Linked DNA regions of Yarrowia lipolytica. The protein of the gene in region 1 interacts with the protein of each later gene in a biochemical or structural test. Links are inferred from orthologs where the notes say so. Each region holds a gene or a part of one and is shown in the gene's direction. Other genes may lie near its edges. The genes, in order: YALI1_F08454g and YALI1_C00772g.

Region 1 (11,033 bases):
TTTTTGGGGCTTTTTTTTTTGTTTTTTGGGAAATCTTTTTCAGCGTCACAACAGAGCAGAGACGAAGGTCAAGCTGGACGGGTGGGAAAATGAAATGATGTGGAATGGACGAGGAGTATAACGTCAAAATGACACGTCTAAAAACGTTGCCAAGAACATAGATTAGGCACGATAAGGTCGATCGCGGTCATGTGACATACCATATCGACGGCGAAGATGTGGTCGAGTCCCTCACATCCCGCTGGCTACAAGTAAGGTCCGTCGCGCGCGTCTCATCACACTCAGGCTTTATGTCTATCGACTCCAGAGTTGGAGGATCTAGTGGAAGAATCGAACCCACAACGTGTCCCAAAAAGCTTGTTGGGTGGCGACGTGTTAGTTGGCTTTTCTGATTATTAGTTGACTTGTTTGGGTAGATGAAGCTGGTTAGTTGAGAAAAGGGCGGAATATCGCTATTTCCGACGTGGAAAGAGTATATTAATGCTCGGTAATACCATCCGGGGAGTTCTTCTGCTTGTCATAACTCTTCTGAGCGCTTCAGAATGGTACGTTATTCCCACTCAAGATCACCCCATACATAATATATAAACATACGCCCCAAGTCTCACTCAAAAATCCGTATGGGCCCGACTGCGAAAAGCGCTCTAATATCGACTAGGGTCGGATGTTGAAAACGGAGGGTAAAATATGAGACGGGATTGTGTGTATTTACAGCTCGTTTGAAGAGCACGTGATTGTCGTAGGGGGAAGTGGTTGCAGTTTGGAAAAGCCGCTACTCTATTACACTTCGTTCGGGGCAATATAGTCGGAAACTAGTTGAAGAGAAAAGTGACTGGGGATTCAAAAGTGGTGTTCCCGAAACGCTACAAAGGTTGATTTTTTTACCAAATAATAGAGGTCTGTTTTGGTCCAGAAAATATAAGCAAATAGATTCCCTTCCTTAACAATATCTCTGGATTTATTTGGTTTTTGTAACTTCCTATGTGTATAAGTTTAGTTGGATTGTTAGTTGAACAAGCGCCGAACGAGGAACACAACATGGTAAAACGGTCAATAGTTGCTAGATGTAGATCGGGGGACTTTCAAAACGTAGTTGGAACGCAATGAAGTACGGTGATCAATTGTTTTGTGGAGTCAGCACACACACGGGCGATCCCAGATAGCTTCCTTTTGGATAGCAATGCATATGGGGTTTCTTTGGGATCTTATCGGTACCAAACATGCTCTTCAGAGTAGGAAAAGTAATATCGACTCCTTTCAACACTATTATAGCTCTCCACTTTACAGCGACCATCGCTGAGAGAACCCAGTGTTTTTGGTACTACTTTTAGTGTCTGTGAGGAAGGCTACGAGTACTGTATATACGATCGATACAGGAGACTCTCAGAGTCCCAGGGTCGCCAGAGCAGTATTTGAAGACGTTTCAGAAGTGTTCTATTCGAATTTTATTCGGAATGTCTTGAATCACCGAGCCGTTTCTTAGACATAGCGTGACCAGAGTGCCTTATAGGTTGTATACCCTTCGGCTACAAATGGCGGGGAGTGGTTCTAGAAGATAAGGAGTCCATGAATATGTCTCTAGAAGTTTACTGGCTCTAATGGCACTAATGAGTAGCTACGATACCAACTTAACGGTTACTAATGTGTTCAGTATTGAATAACCTATTGTACACTGTACTTGTATGATACAGCGGGCATTATGACTGTGCCCTATCACCAGCGTCCTCGTGTGATTGGTCTGTTCGTTGCGTGCAGGATATGATGTCTTTTCATGAACTACTCGTACTTGTAGATCTGCTCGGAACAATCAAGCAGTCTTATAAGGTAACCGGCCATGGCTTCGCTCATGGCTGTTTGATCGGTACAATGAATATTTTATTTTACATGCTTTTACACATTAAACAGACTCAAGAACGACATCCTTGAACTCCCGGTTGACCTTCTTTCCGTTGTCGTCGGTGGCACCTCCGTGAAGAGCGAGCAGAGCTCCGAGGTCGAACTTGGGCTGCTTGAGCAGCTTGACCTTTCGGATGTAGACGTTCTGCAGAGGGTAGATGTTCTGAGTGGCCTTCTCAATCTCTCGGCCAATAACCTCGGGGATGAGCTTGGCGGTGAGCTGAGCAAGAGTCACGTTGGAAGCCTCTCGGACAACAATGTCGGTCATCTTCTTTCGGATCTGGTTGATCTGAGAGGTCTGGGCGTAGGTGGTCTTCTTGACCTGGTTGGCCTGTCGCTTGGTGAAACCGATGACGAAGAGTCGGAGGAAGTAGTCGTCGGAGGTCTTGACGGTGACGTTAGCCTCAATCAGAGTCTGCCACTTTCGGACGAGAGATCGCAGCTTGTCGGAAGTGAAGTCAAAGCCGTGGAAGTTGGTGAGCAGGTTCTTGCCCTGGACCTCGTCAACTCGCAGCTTGACCTTCTTGAAGGAGTGGTCCTCCTGGCCCTGCAGATCAGCAAGGGACACCTCGAGCACTCGGCCCTTGAGGTAGTCGTTGGCGAGTCGCAGACCGGTGGATCGGTTCACGAGGGTCTTGCCGACGTCTCGGTTCTCAAAGGTGGAGGGAGCCTTGATGTTGTACCAGTCCTTCTTGGTGAAGGGGTCGACAACTCGCTTCTTGATACCCTTCTTTCCCCTGCGTTAGTACTGGAGGTTGGAGGTTGGAAGTTGGTAGTGGGTCTTAAGTCAATGTCCACGTCGTCCGAGTTGTCCAGTCGCCATCACTCGACATCTACCCTATGTCCACATCTCTCGACATCTACCCCAATCGAATCGATTCTCGTCATGCCCGCTGTAATACTCACTTAGAGAGTCGCTTGTTCTTTCCCTGAGCCATGGTGTTTAATCACGTCTTAATGTCGAACGGTGTTGAAGAAAGATGAAATAAGTATGAAGGGTTTTTTCATACACGCTTTTCGAATTAGGGTTTCTTGGGAGTTACCAACCCCCAAGAGTGTTTGGGTGCGGTACGCAGTGGGAAAACGCAGTCACATCACGTGATGTCCGAATGGGACCCAACCCCGGCGTGACGTTGGGACTACTCCCGGCGGATATTCTGGCACGCAAACTTCTCAGCCCGTTGGTCACATGATTATGATGTCATACTTGCCAAATTGATGAGACGCTGTCAACCCAGCGAGTGGAATAAGGTGGAATGAATTTAGGTCATTTGGTACCAGTGCAATTACAGTGGGGGGAAAAAAGAGTATTATAGGGTAGGATTTTGGGACATATTTTGGGGCGTAAATGGGGAATAAAATGGGAGTAAAAATGACATAAAAAAATAAGATAAAGTTGCATGTTAAAAATTAAAAAAAAAATTAAAAAATTAAAAAATTAGAACAATGTCATAATTGACCCAGAGAAGAAATATTGGGGTTTCTGATCAGTTTGATTAACTCTGACGGCTGTAAATCACCATCATAATTGGCCTACTTGTTTGTACAAATACGACTGCGGTACCATACCAGCTCATCTCGTCATAGTTCTGATGCATATGTGGGGAAGAGATGAGGGAGAAAGAGTTGCCCGTTTGTGATTTCAGATGGATTTGCTGTTGTTGGTTTTTCGTGGTGTATCTCGCCATTACGTGACTTGACTTTGCTCTGATATTACCCTTTCTGATTACAATGGTCGGTCTACATGGCGATACGAGTACGAGTACGAGTACATACTACGACTCACTCGAACCAGCAGCACCCTGCAAGAAGCACGTGGTTTGAACTCTTTCTAAAGATACGAGGACATCTTGAAAAATGTTTTGCAGACAACTGGAATGGCGGGTCACGTGGTTTGGAGCCGTTTCCTTTACCAATGATGTCTTCTAGTCTCTGTTGGCACCAGTGTACAAGTACTCGTACCACAATTATGTCCAGCATAGCTCCATATCTGGACTGAGAAGTTTCATGAAGAGTCCAAGAAGCTGATCCCATTAGATTGCCCGGTTGAAAAATCAGGTTTTTCAAGCTTCTTTTGGTCTTGAAGTAATCGAGTTAGAAAAAGAAGTACTGGTGTGGATAGTAAAGGGAAAGACTGGAAGTACTCGTCTCCCACTACTGCTACGGAGTATCTGACTTGTAGTCTAGGTCAGAGTACAAACTTCATGGCTTCACGGAGTTGAGAGAGTTATTTTGGAGCGAGATATATACTCATCTGTCATTCACAACTGTTAGTACTAACTGTTGTTTCAAGTTTTCCAAGTTCTACAGTAGAAGACAAGTTCTATTGGTATCGTCGTTCTGGAGTTGTCTGTTGTAGCTGGAACGTGGATTGTTAGAGATTCAAGTAAGGTAGAATATTTTTAGATATGTGGTTTCGACAGACTGTGTATTGAAAGATTTTCTTTACAAATCTCATATCGGAGTCTCTATCTGGATATGTTTCATGAGATGGGCAATCAGTGCACATGCGAAGATACTACTGCGAGATTGTCTTAAATATTCATGATGTGGTGATTGAAAACTGTTGGTTATATCATTGTAGCTCCAAGCAATAATGTCAGCCATTTTTTCCAGTACTTTGGTCGTTTTTATGCGTACCATCAATCAACGACCAATTCGACAGAAAATACTATCATTTAGATATTTATCTTTTTTCACAATTTATTTTTATTTGCATCACTACACCTGCACCTCTGAACCTAATCACAAAAGCCATGCTAACCAGACCCACTATAAGACCTTGTATTTAGTCCAAATTCGCCCCTAAAACTTCTCAGAATATACCTTTGAGTTAGTACAATCATTCTATTGGAAATTTCTGTTCTCATCGGCTCCGCTGCTCTTTTCACAGCCATTTTCCGACCCCCACTTTGCTCCCATGCACGCCACCCAAATTAAAACACGTCTGACGCGTCTCCAATCCCACACCACTTCAAAATGGAACCCAGGCAAAAAAAAGCCCGGTTTTTCGACTCTGAGGAGGACTTTGGCCCGGACACAAAGTCGCTGATTCGCCCCGGAAGCTCACACAAGCCTGGCAAGCCTGCCAGCAACTCTCTGGCTCGACCCACGCCTGCTCCATCGACTTTTCGATCTGATCTCGAGGCGTTTCTGGGGCCTCTTTCGGACCAACGGTTCGGTTTGTTGCTTGCAAAGAGCAAGGGAAATGTCGAACAGGCAGTCAATATCCATTTTGATCTGCCAGAGGAGGTGCAACAAGCGACATCGGAGGAGACGGCGGAAGAGGCGGAAGTGTCTCAAACGACCACCAGCGGCTTTGAGACGACACAAAAGCCCTCCCAAAACACACAGGTGCCTTCTAGAGTCCACACAAGAGGTGGTTGTTCGACTAGTCGTTTCATTGGTTCACTAGTGGTCACGGCATGGGCTTCTAAGTCTTCCAAGGGCAAAGTCAAGTACCAAGACAGACTCGTGGTGGAGCGCCAGTCCCACGACCATTCGAAATCGATCCGGAAGAATCCCACCGACAACTCGCATGTGCACATTCGCACTGTGTCTGGAGAACTTCTGGGGCGCATTTCTGGCGAGCACGACTACTCCATAGCATCTCTGATTGACAGTCGGGTGTGCGACTTTGAGGCGTCGTGTGTTTACGCTGACCACAATCTGAGTCTGGGCTCGAATTTCGTCGTTGAACTGAAATGCTACCTCACCGAAGAAGCGTTCCAGGACGTGGCTATGCCGTTGCTTGACAGCAAGACGGCCAAGAAACGGGAGTATGTGTTTGACAACTCGCGGGAGAGTCACGTGGAGAAGATGCTGCGCAACCGCCAAATCGCCATTGTCGATCTCTTCGGCAAGCTCAATCTTATCAAAGAAAATGAAGCCAACGCAGATATGGTCAAGGACATGCTGAGGGCCAAAAGCCAGCCGCCCTCCAGTCAACCGCCCTCTCAGAACTCAGAGGACGAAAGTGAACCTATTCCCACCGACGAGCTGGATGCCCTTTACAAACGAATCGAAAAGGAGGACGTGGAACAGCCAGAAACAGAGGTGGAGGGGTTCCCTCTAGAGTTGAGAAGATACCAGAAACAGGGATTGACGTGGATGATATCAAGGGAGACGGAGGTGAGCGAGTATTTTGACAATGACGACTCCGGACCTATAAACCCATTATGGACGAAAGTGGACTTTCCGGGAAGTGACGAAAAGTTCTATGTGAACTTTTCATCCGGTGCTCTGACTCTCAAGTTCCCTAAACAAGAAAGGTCCTTCTCAGGAGGCATTCTGGCCGACGAAATGGGTCTAGGAAAGACTATCTCGACGCTTGCCATGGTATACAGAGACCGGCACGTGGGATGCACGTTGGTGGTGGCCCCCATGTCGTTGCTATGGCAGTGGGAACAAGAATGTGAACGAGTTGGTCTGTCGACTTATGTATACCATGAAAAGGGAGCCGATATTGATTTGGATGAGTTGTTCAAAACGTACAGCCCTAACATTCTGATCACGTCATATCACACCCTGGTGTCTCACTATGGTCAGATCAAAGCTCTAGGAGGAGGGCTGGATCGCAACGTCATTTCTGAAACCAGTTCGCATGAGAGACCAAAGATTTTCACCAAGCATTTCCACCGAATCGTGCTAGATGAGGCACACGTGATCAAAAACAGAAATACCGTCTCGGCAAAGGCATGCTGTCTTTTGAGGGCTACCAACAAGTGGGCTCTGACCGGTACTCCTATTCACAACCGTCTGGAGGACCTCTTTTCGATTCTGAAGTTCCTGGGAGCAGCTCCATGGAACGATTTCATCTACTGGCGCAATTTCATCACTCTGCCGTTCCAGGAGGGTAAAATTGTCTCTGCTCTAATGACTGTTCAGTGCATTTTGGAGCCCATAGTGTTGAGACGAACCAAGAACATGAAACAGGCTGATGGAAGTCCTCTGGTAGTGTTACCCAAGAAGACGATCAACATTGAGAAGGTGGCATTGACCGACCAGGAGAGAGTCATCTACAGCTATGTTCTTGCACGAGCTCAGACGTCTCTTCAAAAGTCTGAAGCATCTGAGGCTGTGGGACGCAACTATCTGAACATTTTGACCCAGATTTTACGTCTTAGACAGTCGTGCTGTGATCCAGCGTTGATTTTGCGCCCGGAAGCCGAAGTGCCCACCGACGAGCAGCTTCAGATTGAAGAAAACGAGTCTCAACTCAAGAGCATGATTCAACAATATAATGACGATACTCAGACATCCGCCTGCGAGTATTCGTCTGAGATTATCGCGCAATTACAGGACCAATCGGCTCCTCCAGAGTGTCCCATCTGTGCTGAAGACGTGACCAAGCTGGCCATCTCAAAATGTCTACATATGGGATGTGTGGACTGTCTGGCTGACAATGTTCGGTTCCAGGAGAGCAAGAAGCAGACGCCGGTATGCTGTATATGTCGTCAGCCTGCCGCTCTGAAAGATATATTCGAAGTAGAGAGAACAGGGGAAGATTGCAAGGATATCCGCTTGAAGAAGTTATCTGACAGACCACGCTCTTCCAAGCTCGTTGCTCTGGTTTCCAAGCTCAAGCAGCTCCCTAAAGACGCCAAATCCGTCGTCTTTTCGCAGTTCACAAGCTACCTAGACATCATCCAGACTGAACTGCGTCGTGAAAAGATCCAGGCTTTCAGATTTGATGGTACCTTGTCCAGACAGCAGAGGACCGACGTTCTCAAGGCGTTCGGACTTTCCAAGGGCTCGGTGCTTCTGATCTCGCTCAAAACTGGAGGGGTGGGTCTGAATCTGGTCACTGCCAACCATGCCTTTATCATGGACCCCTGGTGGACGTTTGCACAGGAGGCTCAGGCCATTGACCGAATCCATCGAATGGGACAGACGAAAGACGTGCACGTGACTCGGTTCATTGTGGAGAACTCTGTCGAGGAGAAGATGTTGAAGATCCAGCAACAGAAGATGGTTTTGGCGGGTACGTTGGGTATGTCTGAGCAGGAACAGAAGGCTCAGAGAATCGAGAACATTAAGACTCTGTTGGGGGAGTAATGGAGTACCCCACGTACAGAATGGTGATGATGATGGTGATTGTTACGGTGATGGTGACGGTGATGATGGTAATGGTACCGAGTTGCCGGAGATGTGGAGATGTACATACTAATGTGATTTATAGATTGATCGAAACGTGAAGTTTTGTTCTCAGTTGCAATCAATGGCTGTTCATGTTGATGTCTGTGACTCAATAGTCGGGAAACCCCTGGACATACTGTATCTGAATGTACAGTATAAAGTGAGCAATTCCGACATCCTGACGGAGTGGTCTAATAAAAACATATTGATGGACTATTTTACATCAGATGAACAAATCTTCTCACACAAACTAGTCGTGAAAGACCCACCTTAGGTCATAACCGGAGCTTGTGCACCTGGCTAGAAGAGTATCGAGAACATACGCCACTAATGCACAAAAAGAACTCCATTTGTTTCTGAGTGGTATTATACAACAATCACAGGTCCGTAGAATATCGATGATGAGATTTGTTCAGCATTTTCAGTGTTAATAAGTGTACTGTATGTACAGTATGTACATAGTCGTCTACACCGACAGTCTGGAAGAGTGTTCAGGACGTAGTTCGAGTCCACAGAGTGGACTAAATACGTGCTCCAAGAGCATTTCGCTCCATATCTGTTTTGTCGCAACTTATGAAATGCAGAGGTGCTATGAAACAGGCCATAGAAACTCTTGTTGGAAAGGTATTGTCGTTTAGTTGAGAAATACTTTTGACAAAGTATACGAACTTGTTCGGGGGTTCGTTTCAGGTGTTTCTGAAAAGGAGGTAGTCTTCAGCATATTTTGAGAGAAGACATCGGATTTTTTATATATTATGTAATTGAAATAAAAATCCCCATGGCAGTAACTAATTTATCTCTGATTTTTTTTTTTTCTGTTCATATCATTCATTTTAATTATATACTTTTGCTGTTGAAAGAATAACCTTTGAAATGAATGTAACGCTTACACGAAATATTACTAATTAAACCACGGTTTAGTGTCATGGTGCCAAACTTGGCAACGTACCCTATTTCCAGTAAAAAAATCATAAAAAAACCTGGTTCAGGTCCGGTGTTGTATGTTGGTCCCACATAGCTTCGCATGTTTGTTATTCTCCACATTTTTGTATAAGACCGTTCCAGTATGTACAGTGTACATACTTGTCCATGTTAGTTGGGGTTTTTAGTTACAGTTACCAAGTAGGTTGGGGAGTATTTTGGGAGTATTTCCAAAATATATATTGCTTGTAGTTCCAAAATATATATTGCTTGTTAGTTATAAAAATATATATGCTTGTAGTTATAAAAATATAGATATAAAAACAGAGCACTCTAAACCGATGCCGCTAGCCCAGGATTCAGAAATCACGCCCAATGCACTCCCCACAAATGCAACCGCTAGATACACCGATGACCGAATTAATTGATACACAGTTGTGTCGGAAAATATCTCAAAAAAGACCCCTGGTCTAGCGACAGTAATGATCATCTCTCCGTCCGGGATAAACCCCAATTTTGAGTATAAGGCACCAACCAACTTTGCCCTTGGTAAGGTGATATTAAAGGTTACTGTCCATTGAGTGTGGAAAAGTACCTCATTGGAGCGGGATCATGTCATATCGGCCAGTATCCATTGGATCGGATCATCATGTATGCCCACACTATCACCATGTCAATTGAAGAGTCATTGTGGGCCAATTGACTTGTTTCTACAGAGTCAATTGAGTGCCCTATCATGATCTATACTACAGTCACGAGTACCAGTTCCTAGTGCTAGTACAGTATGTGCACTCAATTGTCATATCTACAGCCATACTCACTCAATTGAGTCACCAGGAGTGACCTACAAGTAAATACAAGTCATAGCCTACCATACTACAGTGTCTACTCCCACTCCACGGGAGGTCGGTCTAATTCTGAATCTGTTTCAAGTCATAATCTACAAGTACTTCCTGATACTTCTGGGCCTATTGAGCTTCTCTCAATCGACGTGTCTACTTCTGAACCTGCTCATCGGCCCAAGACTCCTTCTCGACATAATCGTCAGACTCCTTGTCGAGCTTTTTCTCCTTGGCGAGTCGCTTCTCGGCCTCAGCATCTCGCTCGGCCTTGGGCTCCACGTCCTGTGCACCCTTCTCGGGCTTGTGTTCCTCAGGAGAGTGTTCCTTGGCAGGCACGGTTTCCGAGGTCTTCTCGGATACTCCATGGGGAGCGTCCTGGAATTTCTCGCCCTCGGGCTTGCTGGGGGGTCCTCCGTCGGTCTTCTTGCCCTTGAGTCTGTCGTCGTCAATGAGATCCTGGTCTCGCAGCTCCTTGATGCCCTCCTTCTGGTGTCCGTCGTCCTCGTCGGTGGCCTTGGCTCGCTTGTCGGCAATCTCCGCGTCTCGGGTTCCGTCATCCTTCCACTTGAGATCGGGCTGGTTCTTGGCTAGCACTGCCTCGTCAAAGTCCTTGCCCTCATTGCCTCCCTTCTTGGCGGCCTCCTCCTTCTCCTTGCTGAAGTTCTCCTCCTTCTCCTTGATTGCATCCACGTCGGCAGAGGGCACCTTGGCCGTCACCTCGGTGGCGTCAATTGGGGGGAGAGCGGGCACCTCGTACTCCTCCTTCTTCTTGGGAGCAGGCTTGGGGGGGTTCGTCCACGAGTTGACAACGTAGGCGGTGGGGATGACGAACAGAGCCAGACCGGTAGCGGCCCAGGGCAGGTCCGAGCCGCCCTTGGAAGACGAGCCGGAAGAGTATTGACGTCGCTGCAGCTGTCGAGAGCCCTGTCGCAGCTGGGTTCGTAGAGGTCGGGCGAGTCGAGAGATCATAGTTGTGTGTTGGCAGTGTTGGTGATTGGATGGTCCTGGGGGCCAAGCTTCCTTATATATCTTGGTGAATCTTGGGGGAACAACCAACCAATGGGACGATAGGGTGCCGGGAGCATGCATCGAGGCGGCACTCAGATTAATATGTGCTACTGTACTGCGCCGGCCCCATCAACAAGGTTATCTGATTGCGTAGCGAGAGCACAAGCGAGTCTGGGGGGCGTGGGGCCCTGCTTCTGTGTCATTTATTTGCTCGCCGCCATCACCACT
Region 2 (8,454 bases), on another chromosome or scaffold:
CCAACGAACACTGTCCACTAAAACACCGCTAGAGTGTTGGATCCGCCCATTGGCCATACTGTTACGGCTACATTGGAGTTGTGGCCCATCACGTGCTTTCCCAATACGGCCATAAAGCTTAAAATTGTTACATGAAGATTTTTCCCAAGGCCATTTTTTTCTGCTTTCTGCAGGTGACGTTCTACATATCCCACAACACAACCATCTTCGACAAACGACCACTCGTTGTTGACGACCTCCAAAACCCCAAAAAAAGACAGACAACAATAGATCACCCCCCGCTCGGTATCTATTAGTCTCATAAAATCCAAAAAGCAAAAAAAAATCCAACTTTCTCGCCCCCCGCGCTTTTGTGTCTCTTAACCACAAAGCCACCCTTTTTTTTCTTAGGAAGTATTCGCTTACGTTTCCTAGTTTAATTTCTGTTCTCAACAATGTCTGCTGACGCTTCTCTTGTTGCTGCCGAGAAGGCTCTCGAGAAGATGACCCTCGAGAACAAGGCCGAGGCCTCCCCTGCCACCAAGGAGGAGACCACCACTGAGGCTGCCCCCGCTGAGGGAGAGGCCAAGACTGAGTCCTCCGAGGAGAAGGGCTCCAAGGAGGACCAGGGCGACAACGCCTCCCTCTACGTCGGAGAGCTTGATCCCTCCGTTACCGAGGCCATGCTGTTTGAGATCTTCAACCCCATTGGCCCCGTTACCTCCGTCCGAGTGTGCCGAGACGCCATCACCCGACGATCTCTTGGATACGCCTACGTCAACTTCCACAACCAGGCTGACGGTATCCGAGCTCTTGAGGAGCTCAACTACTCCCCCATCAAGGAGCGACCCTGCCGAATCATGTGGTCTCAGCGAGACCCTGCTCTGCGAAAGACCGGAGCCGGCAACATCTACATCAAGAACCTGGACCCTGCCATTGACAACAAGGCTCTGCACGACACCTTCTCTGCCTTTGGCCAGATTCTGTCCTGCAAGATTGCCACCGATGAGTTTGGCAACTCTCGAGGTTTCGGATTCGTCCACTACGAGTCTGCCGAGTCTGCCGAGTCTGCCATCCAGCACGTCAACGGTATGCTTCTGAACGACAAGAAGGTCTTCGTTGGTCCCCACGTCCCCAAGTCTGATCGAATGCAGTCTTTCGAGGAGCAGAAGAACTCCTTCACCAACGTGTTCATCAAGAACCTTGGTACCGAGATCACCGAGGCTGAGTTTGAGGAGCTCGTCAACAAGTTCGGAGAGACCTCCTCTGTCCACCTCTCCACCAATGACGAGGGCAAGCCCACCGGTTTTGGTTTCGTCGACTACAAGGAGCACGACGTTGCCGTCAAGGCCATCGACGGTCTGTCCGAGACTGAGTTCAAGGGAAACAAGCTCTTCGCCGGCCGAGCCAAGAAGAAGTATGAGCGAGCCGACGAGCTCCGAAAGCAGTACGAGGCCTCTCGACTTGAGAAGCTCAACAAGTACCAGGGCGTCAACCTGTACATCAAGAACCTCGATGACACCATTGACGACGACAAGCTGCGAGCCGAGTTTGCCCCCCACGGAACCATCACCTCTGCTAAGGTCATGGTTGACGAGGCTGGTAAGTCCAAGGGCTTCGGTTTCGTCTGCTACTCCTCTCCCGAGGAGGCCACCAAGGCTGTCACTGAGATGAACCACCGACTTGTTGCCGGCAAGCCTCTGTACGTTGTCCTTGCCCAGCGAAAGGACGTCCGACGATCTCAGCTCCAGCAGCAGATCCAGGCCAAGAACCAGATGCGACTCCAGCAGCAGGCTGCCGCTGGTGGTCTCCCCGGCCAGTACATGGGCAACCCCGGTGTCTTCTACCCCGGCCAGCCCGGCTTCATGCCTCCTGGACGAGGTGGAATGCCTTTTGGTGCTAACCCCCAGATGATGATGCGACCCCCCATGCCTCCCCAGAACCAGTTCCCTCCCCGAGGTGTTCCCGGTGGCCCCAACATGTACGGCGCTCCTCCTCAGGGCTACCAGCAGGGTGGTTTCCCTCCCCAGGGCCCCATGCGAGGCGGCCAGCCTCCCCGATCCGGCCAGCCCGGTCCCCAGGGTCAGTTCCGAGGTGCTCCCCGACGAAAGGACGGTGAGTCCCGAGTTGCCGACTCCATTTCTAACGCTCTTGAGAACGCTCCTGAGGAGCAGCACAAGCAGCTCGTTGGTGAGGCTCTGTACCCCAAGGTTCTCGCTGAGAAGGCCATTGATGGTAACGCCGAGTTTGCCGGTAAGATCACCGGTATGCTGCTCGAGATGCCCATCAAGGAGATTCTCGAGGTCATTGACGACGAGGAGGGTCTCCAGGCTCAGATCAACGACGCCATCACCGCCTACAACGAGTACCTCAACTCTCAGAAGGAGGAGTAATTGTGTAATAAAATGTGTGGATTATGTGATAAGGATAAGCCAAGTAGTGAGCCAAAACCCGAGCAGTACCACTTGCATAGCAGTGAGTATGTACTTGTAGATGAATTATAGAGAGTCATGATTGAGGCCATTGGTAATTGGTTTGTAACTAACGTTGTTGTTGGTCAATTGGAAATATGTTACCACCAATGGATTCACAGTGCGCATGTTGCAATACTAAAGTGGTCTGGGAATTGCGATACAGTTGATTCTGGGAGTGTTCAACGACGACAAAGGTGCTGCGATATAGTGTGCATACGTATGTATAGTATTGTAGTCGCAGCAGTATTCTCAATATCACTAATCTCAACTAAAGATTTCAACGGGGGAAATGGTGCAATTCTCTCAAATCACGAATATATCCCTGTTCGACACCAAGACCAAATCAACATGGGCTTTGGGTGTAGAGTAGATCATGAAAGACGGTGTACATAAGGCAGTCGTCCAATACTGTACTAGTACAATGGCTCATCAAAGGACTATCGAGTCGGAAACTCATATCATAAATTAATATATACATCTGTTGTGAAAGCGGTTGTGGTCATTTCTTCCTGTCGCTCAAGGTGGTCACTTCTTTTCATCGGACTGAACGAGGAACGAAGTAATACTATCTGCCTCTTGCTGCCGGATCTCTTCGGCTCGCTCCTGTATGAGCTGTTTCTTTGATTTAAGAGGAGTGGCATCCACAAACTTGATCGAAAAGCCCTTGGGTTTCTCCTCGGGTTCAATTTTCTCCACCTGGGTTAGTTGATACTGAGAGTGGTAAGCGTAAAGCTAGCATGACGACCAGGATAGGTTTCCAAAGGTCAATCCCACGAGAACAAATGAACTCCATGAGCTGATTCACCAACTTTCGCTGCAACAACTGTCTGTGTTGCCACACTGGGGTCAAGGCTTCGGTCGTCTCCTTACCACTACAATCGGAAAGTAATGTCCAGAAGTTCTGTCTAGCATCCCTTGATTTTCTTGGAGTCTTGATTTTTCTTGGAAGTCCTTGATCTGCCGCAGAAAGTCCTTGGTCATTAGCTCTCGGGCTGCGCCCTCAGCTACCTCCTACTGTCATACTCACCAGAACATAATTCTTGTTCATAAGCCACACTCCCCAGACGGCCCCGAAAGTGAGTCCTATCGACAGAGCAACGAATCTGCTGTTGAAAGTGGCGCCTGTTTTTGGGATCTTGGTGATCATTGTGGTTGTGCGGGATAGTGTCTACTTTTTTTCGCCTCGCCTGTGGCTTGCATTTCATATCGTATAGTAGGGTTAGGGCTGTCTCTCCCAATATCACGGTTATCTCAACCACTGTGCGTACATTGTTAGCATCTTCAATACACCCCCAATGAACGCCCTTCCCAAGAGAATCAGCAAGGAGACCGAGCGGCTCGTCAAGGAGCCCGTGCCGGGAATCTCCGCTGCACCCCACGACGACAACCTGCGGTACTTCGACGTCACTATCGACGGGCCTACCTCTTCCCCCTACGAGGGCGGTACTTTCAAGCTGGAGCTCTTTCTGCCCGAAGACTACCCCATGGTGCCCCCCAAGGTGCGATTTCTGACCAAAATCTACCACCCCAACATTGATCGACTTGGCCGAATCTGTCTGGACGTGCTCAAGTCCAACTGGTCGCCTGCTTTGCAGATCCGAACCATTCTGCTGTCCATCCAGGCGCTGCTTGGAGCTCCCAATCCTGACGACCCGCTCGCCAATGACGTGGCACAAAAGTGGAAGGAGGACGAGAAGACTGCTATTCAGACTGCCCGGGACTGGACCAAGGAGTACGCCAAGGCGTAGAGATTAGAGTAATTTATTGAGCATGCCCCCACCAAACAGAGGTCGTAAAACGGAGGTTGGACATTGTACCCCTTGAAGGTTGCAGGGTTTCTGATGGAGCCGGAGCTGTTAGGCCAAATGGAAGCCGCAGACTGCAAGTTGGAGATGGCCTTGTGTTTTGCTGCTGTAGAAGTGGAAGTTGCCCCTCAAGCCTCAAGCACTTACTGTACTGGTCATTAGCCGATTGACTCTCAGCTTAGTTAAGCGACAGCACGATATTTTTAGTAGGGGTGGCTTCTGTTATAGTGCGATGGTCTCAGATGAGGTCTCATGCAGTAGAGATTGAGTGAACCAAGAAGGTAGATCAGAACTCACAAGCTACTGGGGTTCATTCAAAAGCTATTGTATCGTAAAACAGATAGCTGCAATGGATTCTGCAGGCATGAGTTGGTACATTAATGTTTTCAAATCTTGTAAACATCTCTCTCAGGGCTTACTGCGTTGGGCTCTCATGCTCCCTTCCGCTGTCCCGCCGAATACTGGACATATCGGGCCAGTATAATACACATGTGGGAAGATGTCATATACTTGTAACACTCAGCTACAATGTTGTACAGTACAACGGATGCCACATCTGATATCAGTAATATACTGCTATCGATAGAGGTTCAATTCCATCCCACAGATATCATCCCGCTCAGCTCCATCAGTCTGCACCAAGATGGCCCTCTCGCGTGTGCGAAAGTTGTACCTGAAGATCCCCTACTACCGTCTTGAATATGGTCAGTGGATCTCATGGCAGGAGTACACCAATTCGATTTCGAATCGGAGTCCCTTCTACCACCGTTTGGTCACGCCCAGCCCGCCTGAACGTGCGGAGGAGCCATTACCGAAAGATTTTAGAGCTCTACAGGGAAAAAACACAGCGGGAGTTGAAGGAGTGGAACTTTCACGACCTCGGCCCGACTAATGGCAACAAGGCCCTTGGTCAGACAGAGAATGGTGGCTGTAAAACTGCAGATTCTACTCTTGCCTCACAGGTATACAGAGCTTACCCTTTCAGACTCCAGCGAAAAACAGATATCCGGGCAAGCCTGTATGGCAACAAGGGTTCCAACATCGATGAAGAAGAAGAAACTTGTCTTTTCATTCAGTACAATGATGACACAAGTCAAGAACACTTCTTAGAATCGCTGAACGCACCCTGTAACTCCCTTCTGCTTGTAGCAGACAGTAGGACATTTTCACAAGGCGATGCGGGGATATTTTCGATACCTATCGTGTTCTAAGAGGTGGACAGGCCCTGCTTATTGGCACGAGTCGTCCTCTCCAAACAGCAGACTGTTGTTCCTTCTTGAACATCCAGGTGGTTTGACATGAGTCGGAAGTCAGGGACTCAGAGTTGCCCGCATTGAAGCCCTTCATCCCTGAAGATGACTGGTACCCTCGATACGGTCTATCTTACCATTATGATGATTTTCTTATATATGTGGTAGATGTTCAAACCAGACGAGTTCATGATGTGATGGAGAGAGATAAAGTGGTTCATGTACTTGTAGGTGTTTCAGACGGACAATTGGATATATTGCAATATGGAAATACGCAAGGGAGTATCTCGCGAAGAAGCGCCAGGAGCAGAATGTGACAATGATGGAAAGCCTGATAGAGAATTTATTGGAGTACCCAGACATAGTAGATGCGTGCAAGGGAGAAGCTATAAGGTGGTCTGCTATGCAGCGAGGTCATTGAGTGAAGAGATCTGATTCTTGACGTGGTGGTGGAACCAACAAGATCTTAACGATGCGCTGACTAATTATACAATCATGTGGTCTTGGCTTCAATGCTTGTTCCTAATGGCAATACTGTAAATATCCCACTGTGTTGCTGTATTCAATCAATTACTAATGACTAACTGTTTACTTGCAGAGGTCCATGATGGTGTTGACAACATCAGAGTCGTTCTTCTTAAGACCGTTGATGGCCTTGTTTCGGGAAACGTTGGCCTGCTCCATAACAAGCTTGATGTCGGAGTCCTCAAGGCCGGTGGCATCAGCCTCGGCCTCGTCCTCGGCATCCTCGTCCTTGGACAGAGAAGCAGCCTCGAGGTCAGCGGTGATGGAAGCGGGATCCTTGGAGGCAAGCTCAGCGCCAACCTCACCGGCGGCAGCAGCCTCGGAGACGGAGCCGGTCTCGGCAGCAGCCTGCTGGGCCTGGGCAGCGGCGATCTGGGCAGCTCGGGCGGTGGCCTGCATGTCCTCGTGCTGGGCCTCACCGAAGACAACGTAGGAGTTGCCGGTGGGGGTCTTGTAGACCTCGGGGTTGGCGATCACGAAGATGTGCTGTCGGGTTCGCTTGAGGACAACTCGGGTGATACCCTCAACCTTCTGGAGGTTGAGCTTGGAGATGAGGGCTCGGGCGGCCTTCTCCTCCTTCTTGATGACGATGGTGGAGTTCTCCTCGATCTGGGGGACCTGGTCCTCGGTAATTTCCTCAATCTTGTTCTCGGCAGACACTGTGTTAGCGAACGAATTAGCGAGCTATGGTGTAGCCACGGGAAGCAAGCGATCTGAACAAGCCATGATCTGTCGATATCTCGTCGTTTTCTGCTCAATTGCGGTTTTCTGCGTTGTTTGTACTCACTTTTTAATATGGTGATGTGTATATGTTGTGTCGGGAGTGAAATTTTCACCACAAGCGGAGTGGGGTGTACATTTGAGCATGGTTACCCGGCAAGGGTTAGGGTCTGCGGTGCGTACCTGAATCCTAAATGTGTGGAGTTGCGAGGAAATCAAAGGAGGGATGATGAGAGGAGGAAAAGATGGATATATATCATGCCGAGGGAATAAGACATACAAAGACAGAGATGGAAATTGGACATTAGAATGGGGAGAAGGTGATAGGTGCGGTGTCCATTTCAAGTTACAAGTACAGGACTGTACTTGTAGTGAGTCTGACTGTACATGCACTGTAAATTGCATAAAGCTCTGTCAGACATTACTTGGATACTTTGCATAATTAGTTGGAATTAGTTGAAGGTGGAATTACGCTGAGGGTTACTTGTCAGTTGTTTCAGTGACTCAAACCACACAAAAAGATTGTGAGATTATTAAGAGACAGCTATTTTATGAGTATGTTTTTTTTCGACACTTGCTGTAGACCTGATATTGAGATAATATCTATCTCGTTGTCATGTAAATTTTACAGAGGCTTGCTCACAAAATTACTTAATACATTACTATACTCAAATACTATTTAACTTGCCTTCCCATCCGACATCTCGGCATCAGACACCTTCTCCAACACCTTGTCAGCCTGACTAGTGGCCTCGCTCTCAATCTTATCAGCATCCAACACTTCCATAATCTGGCCCTCCAAAACAATGCCATTCTTGTAGCAAATTCGTTTCTCGTCTCTCTTGTAAAAGTACAGAATGACCATAGCTCCGATTGCGCAGCAGGCAGCACAAGCAGCACAGGTCCCGAAACCCTTGGTGAACCGAGGAGACTCGACTGTGGGAAACACCAACACTGAGACCCAGGCCGAAGAAGACTGACCAATCATGTTCATGCAAATGACCACAATGGCATACTCCTGAGGATCGTGTCTCATAATGTCACTGACCCAGCCGAATAAAACTGGACTCATGGACCAGGACATGTACTGGAGACAAAAGGCGAACCATTTGGCGGACTCCGTGACATCCCAGATGGCGAGAATCACACACCCTATGAAGTTGAACACCTGGGTTATGACTATAGCCCCCCATCGGCACTTGAACATGTCTGCAAAGACGGAAGCGGAGTAAACATAGACGAAACCGAGACCCGGAGCCACGGAAGACAACTGGTTGATTTTCTGGTTAGTATAGCGTTGGTTCCCGTCACTGTCTGTCAAACTCTTGAGCCACAGAAGGAAAGACCCCGAGTTGCCGCTGTTGTTGTTGTAGAAAACGGATGTGATGAGAATCATAGTGGGTAGCTGCCAGGAGGTAAGCAGCGGTTTCCAGAGTGTCCAGTCGGTGAGTTTCTTGCTGGGCTTGGCCTTCTTCTCCGTCACATATGGTCGCATACGTTCTCTGCATCTTCGGATCTCGTCGTCAGACAGAAACAGAGACACGCACTTGTCTGGGGTGCCCGGGATCATAAAGTAGCCAATGACAGCCAGGGGCAGTGTGGCAATGGCGTCGATAATAAACACCCATCTCCATCCCTCAAATCCACCAAGTCCATGGAGATCCAGAGCAGCACTAGCCAGGAGACCGGAACTGAGCAGAC

Evidence for each region.
Region 2: the proteins of YALI1_F08454g (region 1) and YALI1_C00772g form a complex in vitro, tested with the Saccharomyces cerevisiae proteins (3 studies listed by BioGRID). The link is inferred for Yarrowia lipolytica from reciprocal best matches to the Saccharomyces cerevisiae genes RAD5 and UBC13.

Annotation. Positions count from the first base shown.
Region 1 is NC_090775.1:840,536-851,568, forward strand, and holds YALI1_F08454g (uncharacterized protein), read left to right. Parts: upstream 1-4,875; coding exon 4,876-7,953; downstream 7,954-11,033. Other genes in the region: YALI1_F08431g (40S ribosomal protein eS1), read right to left, coding at 1,898-2,633, 2,803-2,834; YALI1_F08514g (uncharacterized protein), read right to left, coding at 9,951-10,886. UniProt on the Saccharomyces cerevisiae protein: Probable helicase, member of the UBC2/RAD6 epistasis group. Functions with the DNA repair protein RAD18 in error-free postreplication DNA repair.
Region 2 is NC_090772.1:73,540-81,993, forward strand, and holds YALI1_C00772g (uncharacterized protein), read left to right. Parts: upstream 1-3,748; coding exon 3,749-4,201; downstream 4,202-8,454. Other genes in the region: YALI1_C00739g (uncharacterized protein), read left to right, coding at 435-2,372; YALI1_C00766g (uncharacterized protein), read right to left, coding at 2,979-3,149, 3,481-3,600; YALI1_C00784g (uncharacterized protein), read left to right, coding at 4,960-5,469; YALI1_C00826g (uncharacterized protein), read right to left, coding at 7,433-8,454. UniProt on the Saccharomyces cerevisiae protein: Has a role in the DNA error-free postreplication repair (PRR) pathway. The UBC13/MMS2 heterodimer catalyzes the synthesis of non-canonical poly-ubiquitin chains that are linked through 'Lys-63'.